Linked DNA regions of Ovis aries. The protein of the gene in region 2 interacts with the protein of the main gene of each other region in a biochemical or structural test. Links are inferred from orthologs where the notes say so. Each region holds a gene or a part of one and is shown on either strand. Other genes may lie near its edges.

What was found.
Region 1: the proteins of DRAP1 (region 2) and DR1 form a complex in vitro, tested with the Homo sapiens proteins (2 studies listed by BioGRID). The link is inferred for Ovis aries from reciprocal best matches to the Homo sapiens genes DRAP1 and DR1.

Annotation. Positions count from the first base shown.
Region 1 is NC_056054.1:70,565,762-70,569,569, reverse strand, and holds part of DR1 (protein Dr1), read right to left. Parts: intron 3,496-3,808; coding exon 3,332-3,495; intron 1-3,331. UniProt on the Homo sapiens protein: The association of the DR1/DRAP1 heterodimer with TBP results in a functional repression of both activated and basal transcription of class II genes.
Region 2 is NC_056074.1:40,463,458-40,467,753, reverse strand, and holds DRAP1 (dr1-associated corepressor), read right to left. Parts: upstream 2,769-4,296; 5' UTR 2,637-2,768; coding exon 2,595-2,636; intron 2,352-2,594; coding exon 2,279-2,351; intron 2,171-2,278; coding exon 2,077-2,170; intron 1,805-2,076; coding exon 1,685-1,804; intron 1,565-1,684; coding exon 1,471-1,564; intron 1,263-1,470; coding exon 1,174-1,262; intron 844-1,173; coding exon 738-843; 3' UTR 626-737; downstream 1-625. Other genes in the region: C21H11orf68 (UPF0696 protein C11orf68 homolog), read left to right, coding at 3,040-3,161, 4,134-4,296. UniProt on the Homo sapiens protein: The association of the DR1/DRAP1 heterodimer with TBP results in a functional repression of both activated and basal transcription of class II genes.

The DNA.
Region 1 (3,808 bases), on a different chromosome or scaffold from region 2:
AGTCAATCCTTCCCAGTAAACTAAGCATAATGACATAACCCCGTCTTTTTTTACACTATTATAAGATTAGCAACTAGCACTGTATCTGGTAAATAGTGAAGACTTTAATAATAAATATCTGTAGAACAAATGATCTCATGAAAGTCTCTCCATCTCTGAGTCTGTTTCTTAAAGTGTAAATGGGTACAGTAAAATTTGTTTTGTTCATTGAAAACTCTGCAAAGTATATAAAATGTTTAGCAGAGCATCTTTCCCTTTATCAAATATTTACGCTGGCACCCTGTAGGTGATCTCCCATAGTAGAGACTCAATAAATAATAGCCACTAGCTTTTTAAAAAAACTTTCAATCCTCCATTGGTACCTCCTATTCATATGGATTACAACACTGTTTGCATGTGGTCTTACCTGCCTCAAAGGCTTTTCTACTTAAGTACCTGTTTTCTATGTTGTGAGGATTAAATGATACTGGTAAATCACTTGGCACATGATTAACACATGGTTAGAACTCAATAAACATTGGTAAGCTTTATCTTCCTTATCAGTTTAAATGGTATCTGGTATCTAGTGCTTGATAACTTAAAATTTAAATACTTAAACCAAACTGGTTGTTAATGACTATAAAGAGATCAGTTATGGAACTAATCTGGAAAAGACCTAAAATGGTATTTCCTAGTTCTAATAGTAGTTATAGTAACTTGTATCAATTCTCACCTCTTCTATTCAAACCAAATCTGTCTTCCATTTTCAAGTTGAGAAGCCAGAACTTTGTAGGGAAAAAACAGCCTCACTTCTCCCCACCTCCTTTTTTTTTCCATAATGGTGAATAGATTCTTGAACCTCCTCAAAGTTCAGAATCATAATTTATAAGATCAAGGTTAAAGTAAATGATTTCAAGTCTGTTCCACCCCTAGAATTCTGTGCTTCCCTGACTCATCAATTTAACTCAGTCATTTATTCAACAAATATTTACTGAATACTCCCCCTGTGCTAGTTACCAAGTCAGATGGGTGCTGCTGCTGCTGCTGCTGCTGCTGCTGCTGCTAAGTCACTTCAGTCATGTCCGACTCTGTGCGACCCCATAGACAGCAGCCCACCAGGCTCCCCCGTCCCTGGAATTCTCCAGGCAAGAACACTGCAGTGGGTTGCCATTTCCTTCTCCAATGCATGAAAGTGAAAAGTGGAAGTGAAGTTGCTCAGTCGTGTCCAACCCTCAGCGACCCCATGGACTGCAGCCTTCCAGGCTCCTCCGTCCATGGGATTTTCTAAAGATACAATTAATAATAGGTCCAGCCGTCAGCGAGCTTACAAACTGAGGGCAGGGACAGACAATTATAAAGGACCACAAAGCACTATTCCTATGATGAAATAAGTATCTCTACGGAACTGAAACACTGTATTTTACATCCTCTTTACCAGAGAATCACCTCTGACCCAATGATTTAGGTCTAACTTTCAAGATCTTCCCACTGGAAAGTGAGTTCAATGCTTTATTATACTTATAGACAGTACTTATAGACAGTCTGCTTGAGCAATCTGAGCATTTCAGTAGTACCCAGAAATGGAATGGACTATTTTTTAAGCTGTTCTTGTAAATCTTCAAGTTTGTAATTCCTTGCTCCTGCCTTTGTAGGGTAAACAGGAAGAAGGTACAGAGAAGAGCAAGTGAAAATATGATTAAGATATCTCAGTCCCTGGTGATAAATTTAGCCTTGGTCAGTGATCTGCATTCTTAACAACCAGGTTATTAAGCTCTCAGTCTTACATGGAGTGAATATTCAGTCATTCAAGGATCACTGTAGGGTTTCCCTCGTGGCTCAGTGGTAATTCGCCTGCCAACGCAGGAGACGCGGGTTCGATTCTTGACCCAGAAAGATCCCACATGCCGTAGAACAGTTAAGCCTGTGTATCACAACTACTGAGCCTGTGCTGTAGAGCCCAGGAGCTGCAACTACTGAAGCCTGTGCGCCCTGGAGCTCGAGCTCCATGACAAGAAAATCCACCGCAAGGAGAAGCTCCTGCACTGCAACTAGAGAGTAACCCCTGCTGACTGCAACTACAGAAAAGTTCACATACCAATGAAGACCCAGCACAGCCAAACATAAATAAATAAATACTTTTTTTTTTTAAAGAAAAGAACCGTTGTACACTGTAACTACCTGCTCCCTAACTTCAAGGAACCTGGCAGAGGAGGAGGGAAGGCCAATTTTTCCCTCTCAATTTCTTCTTCTTGCTCTTGCCTGTGGGTATTCTGGACCAGGCCCAGTGCATCCCATGCCTGAGTGGAAAGGACTGATGGAAAGCTTTTTCTTTGCATCAGCATGGGGTATATGTGCATATTGGTTGTTGGGTTATTCACTCCACATGGAAACTGTGTTGCATGCTGCATGGGCTTCTTCATCTCCTAATCCTCATCCCTAGGTATTTTTACCAGATAATGAAGGCTGCCAGCCTTTGTTGCCTCTGCTGTAATACGAAGGCACAGTGAGTCATGGAGACAAAGGGTAAGAGATACTATAGTGGTCATCTTTGGAAAATATGATCTTCCACAGAGGGATGATCCAAAATATATTACAGAGCTTGTTTCTACTGTCACCAAGGGACCTGGAAGGGAATGAAGAAGGCACCCAGGATTCTGACAATGGGCTAAGGCAGGCCAAGAAGATGGCAGAGCAGTAACACTGGAGAAATTCTGAGAGGCTAGTCACAAACTCCACTCAATTCCAGCTCCCGGTGGTCTCCTTTCTTTAAAAACAGAGGGAAATAACAAATAGTTCTTGTTGCTAATCCTCCACAGACTGGACATTAGAACAAGCGAAAAAGGAGAAAAGTTTTCTGCCTTTCTCTGCTCCACTGGCCCTTCAAAGTTTTTAAGATCAGAGTGTTTTAAAGGTGCAGTAAAGACCTAAGTTAACTAAAAAGTAAACGTTAGTCAGATTTTTTTTATATGCTGTTCGTCTAAAAATTTGATAAAATATTTTCTCACCAGTCCATCAGTTTAAATCTTACGAATGTTAAGGTATACTTTTCATGCTTTTAAATGGTCATTCTGCCTGAAAAAAACATCAAAGTAAAGTCTCAGTAGTCATTCGGAGTTGTTCTCCTCAGAAAACAGGCTGCTGCAAATATTTACTTTTATGTAAAGTAAATAGCCGGCCAAATAGAGTCAAACTGGCCAGATCTAACATCAGACTCTATGATCAAACAATCAGCCACAAAAACAAAATTTTGGACATGCATATTGACTTGGGAAATTATTTTAGAAAACAGTATGATTTTGGTGTACAAAAAAGGGTCAGATTCACATGAAATAAGTTAATATGTGTTACTTACTTTTGCAAATAATTCCTGTTGCTGTCTCAATAATTCTTCTTCGGGAATGCCGAGATTTTCCAAACGAGAACTGGCCTTTCTTCTTTTTAATGCTACTGTCTTGCATTCTTGTAAGACTTCTTTTACTTCACTGATATAAGAGCCAAAGCCTAAACTTTCTAGTGCTGGGAAAATGAAAATATGAAAATATCAGAAAGTGATAAAACACCACTTTTTCTTCACCAGTGGAATATTTTGTGAAGCTTGCCAATGGGGTGGTGGGGGTGGCAGAGGGAGGTATTTGGAGGGGAAGACTACTGTCTTCTAATAATTTTACCTATTTTACGGTGCACAATAATCATCCATATGGCTAAGACAAAATATTTTATCAGCTTTCTTAATATTAGATTGCAAATTAGTTAAAACTTAAGGAACATATCAAGGCACAGGCCTTCACTTTTCCTTTTCTTTTTAGTTTTTTAAAAACTAAAGCATTTC
Region 2 (4,296 bases):
CTCCTAGTCATCAGCACTCGAGTCTACTGCTAACCCAGGCCTCCAGGCTGCCCGCAGCACTCCACACCTCCCGCCTGCCTCACCAAGCTGCTTCTCCTGGAAGACACATGTCTGCCTCGTGCGCATAGCTCCAGGGTCTGCTCAGAGTCACTGCCTGCTCACCAGCCAGCCTTCATGGGGCCCCCACCACACCACCTACCTCTGCCCCCACTGCCCCTCCTCATGTCCTTTAAGGCAAGTGGCCCAAGCTCTAGTTTCCCAGACTCATTTCTGTTACCTGTCCCTTTGCAGCAACCCAGAGTGAACAGAATGGTCTACATCAGAGAGCCAAGAAGAAGTCATTCAGAGAAGAGGAACCTACCCACGGACACACAGCACCATGAGACAGGCTGTCCCCCAGCATGACCGGCACCAGCTGGCTCAGACCCTCTGCCGCTCTGACCGGCCTTCCTTCCATTGGCACCCCTGGCCCTGCGCTGGCAGAACTGTGGCCTCCAGCCCCCCCTCTTCAGTCAGCTGCTGCCCAGCCCCCCGGGGCTCTGGGTCCCAGCTCAGCATCAGGAAGGAGGTGGAAGGAGAGAAGGAGGCCACAAACCCTGGACAAAAACCGGGACAGACGTGAGTGTTCCCTTTTGTTATTATTTTATTAATAAATTTAAGAACAGCTCTATGGTCTCTCTTCCCCCCAGAGCAACTAAAACAAACTAAAGGGGGTGTGGCCTGGGGGGCAGAGGGCGCTAGGAGTCATAATCCTCTTCTTCCTCTGCGTCAGGTGCTGAGGGGCCCGGGGGTGCTGGGGGCAGAGGCAGGGTCGAGGTGAAGGGCATGAAGGGTGTCGGGGGGCTGCAGGGGAGAAAGCAGTAAAGAAAGATCAGGCCACTCTCTGGTGCCCATCCCCACCCACTCAGCCCCACCTGGGCATCCCCGGAGCCCACTACCCTCTGTACCAACAGGGAGCAAGCCCAGAGAACGGAAGGACCCAGGGCAGGTCACACAGCCCCACCTAGCAGAAGAGGACCTTCTGAGAGTACAGTCCCCAGCCTTGAAGTCCTTCTTAGTTCTTCCCCTACCATCCCCCCAGTCTGCCATGACCAACAAAACCAAGTGGCTAGGGAGGCCAGGAGGGAGGCCAGAGTCAGTCTTGGGGTCAGTGGGCCCCTTGGTGCCACTTACCTCTGAAAGTGGGCAGGGGGGTGGCTGGCCTGGGGTGGGACCTGTGGTGTCTCCTCTTCTCCGTCACTGTCTGTATCCTCAGACTCATCCTGAGAACAAGGCAGGACTTAGAGACTAGAAGGGCAGGGCCCCATCACTGGAAAGCAGGGACAGGAGGCTGACCTCACTAACCCCAATTTACAAAGAAACCAATACAAAGGTCACAGGTGAGGGACCAGGCCCCCAGCCAGCTCATCCTGGCCTGGTATAGGGCTGCCCTGTCCACCCTATGGGCCAGAAGCCTAGGGCCTCACTCACCTCCTGCTCTGAGTCCGTCCCTGACAGCTTCTTGTCCTTGCCTTTGCTTCCCATCCCACCGTTCTTCCGGCCACTGCTGCCTGGCTTCCGGCCCCTTCGGGAAGGTACAGTACATCTGCCCACAGGTCTCCCCACTCCTTCACCACTCCCCAGCCATCCCCAAGTCCAGGGGCCTTGGCCTTCCCCACCTGGACACTGGTCCCTGGCACCCTACCTGCGGGGACCCTTGTCCCCATCCATGTGGTTGTCTTCTCCATCCCCCTGCATGTCAGGCACAGATGCCACCAGGTCCTTCAAGAAGTCAAACTGCTGCTCCAGCTCAATGCACTGTTTCCTGGAAGAAGTGGGAAGGGGTTGGCACTCGGATGAGGCCCAGACATCTGGGCCCTCAACAAGGGACAGTACGGACTCTGTGGATGTCAGGGGAATGGAACCTGGAAAATTTCCACCCCAACCCTCCCCCTTGGCCAGAACATCCTAATCCTCCTCCTCAAATCCACAGATCTCACAGCAGCCTACCAATTCCTTATCAGGGCACAGCCTCCCCCAGGCGTGTGAACTGGAGGAAGACCCCCAACTGGGCCCTCTAGGATCGGAGCCACTCACAGGTGGGATGTAGTCATGGTCTTGGCGTTTCGGGACTGGGTAACTTGGCATGCTTTCTTCAACAGAGACTCCAAGAAAAGCTCGAGCGCCCGAGCTGAGGAGGGTCAAGGAGAACGCAGGGTGGTGGCCCAGTCCACAAAAAGCGACCCCGGGGCTGCCGGGCTCCCCCACTCCCCCATCCCGACAGCTCCCGACAGGATACAGATGATGACAGGCACGGCCGCCGCCACCTTCCCAATCTCTTCATCCGTCTGCATGATCTTCTTGATTCGTGCCTGGGGAGGGGGCAGACAGCTCGGACCCCGTAGCCTCCGTCCCAGAAAGGGTGCTTAAGCCGGGCAGAGAGAGGGAGCATCCCGGGAGAAAGGGGGCGGGGGGCACCCACGCTGGAAGGGCACGGAAGGGGGCGGGGCGTACGGGGCCCCGAACACGGCGATGCGCCCGCCTCCCTAGTCCGGCCTGGGCCGGAGCTTCCCGAGAGCCCGGCCCGTTCCTCTGGGGCCCGCTCACGTGCTCACCGGCGGGAACCGCGCGTTGTACTTCTTCTTCTTGCTCGGCATCTCGGGGCCTCTCCCGCCGCGCCGGACCCAGCGCCGCCGCCCGCAGCCTCCCGGCACCCGGGCCTGCTCTTAGCCCGTCCGCCGCGGTTCCCCCGGGTCCTGGTGCCGCCGGCTCCGCCCCCAACGCTTCCTACAGGGTCCTAGCGCCGCCGGTCAGGACGCCGCCGGCAGGGCCCGAGCGCCCTCCCCCTTAGAGCCTCCCGGGCTTTGCGCGTCCGTCCGGGGCGGAACCGCCACTCCCGCCCGCCCCCAAGACCTGAAGAGCGAACGTTAGCTCCGCCCCCCAAGGCCCGCCCCTCCTCGCCTTCCCTGATGGCCCCGCCCCCATGGCCCCGCCCCTTCCCGGCCCCGCCCTGTGCTGCGTTTGTCTATAAAGTTCTTGTTGAGGCGCCGGGGTACTAAGATGGCGGCGGCGGCGGCAGCCGTGGCGGGGGCGGGGCGCGGCGGTGGCAGCGGCGCAGATCCCCGGCAGGAACGGAGCCGGGCCCGGGGCTGGCCCGGCGCCGAGCGCAGCGAAGGCCGGAGGTGACGCTGGGGTTGGCGGGAGGGGGCAGGACGGGGGCGCAGCTCGGGCCGTGGGCACTAATGGCGGCGGGCGCGGCGGGGCGGGAGGCAGGCTCTCCTGCAGCCTCTATCCAGCCGGGGTTCGAGTCCAGGCACCGCCCCGTTGGTCTCGGATCGGACACTGCCCGTTTCTCGCCTCAGTGCCCTCGTCTTTAAGTAGGTTGGATAACGCTCGCCCGGAGGCCTGGCCCCATGGGCCCTGCCTCGGTGCGGCGAGGACGTGTGCTTTGCCTCCCTCCATTAAATCCCAGCGCCCGGGAGAGCGGCCAGGCTCTGGCAGGGCCAGGAGGCGTAGCTGGGCCGGCGGTTCCCGCATTTGAATTGCCGTTTCGGCCCTATCACTCACTGAAGGTGTGACCTGCAGTGAGCCCCTTCTCTCTGAGCTTCGGTTTCCTCGTTTGTAGGTCAAGGAGAGCAGTAATAACACTAACTACATTTATATAGCTTTTGTTCCACCTCAGGCGGTTAATTCTGCACAACTGCTTGAGGCAGTAACAAGTTGTTATCCATTGTGGAGACGCGGCAGCCGAGGCCCAGGCCCACACCGTTCAGTTCAGTGCCTGGCACCCCCTGCTGCTGCTGCTGCTGCTGCTGCTGCTGCTGCTAAGTCGCTCCAGTCGTGTCCGACTCTGTGCGACCCCATAGACGTCAGCCCAACAGGCTCCCCCGTCCCTGGGATTCTCCAGGCAAGAACACTGGAGTGGGTTGCCATTTCCTTCTCCAGTGCATGAAAGTGAAAAGTGAAAGTGAAGTCGCTCAGTCGTGTCCGACTCTTAGTGACCCGTGGACTGTAGCCTACCAGGCTCCTCCATCCATGGGATTCTCCAGGCAAGAGTACTGGAGTGGGGTGCCATCGCCTTCTCCCTGGCACCCCCTAGGACTCAGCAAGTTGAGTCTGTCCCGGCCCTGCCCTGATTCGGTTCCCTCCCGCAGGATGGAACCAGGTGAGGAGCTGGAGGAAGAGGACTCTCCAGGTGGTCGTGAAGATGGCTTCACTGCTGAGCACCTGGCTGCAGAGGCCATGGCAGCCGACATGGACCCCTGGCTGGTGTTTGATGCCCGCATGACACCTGCCACAGAGCTGGATGCCTGGTTG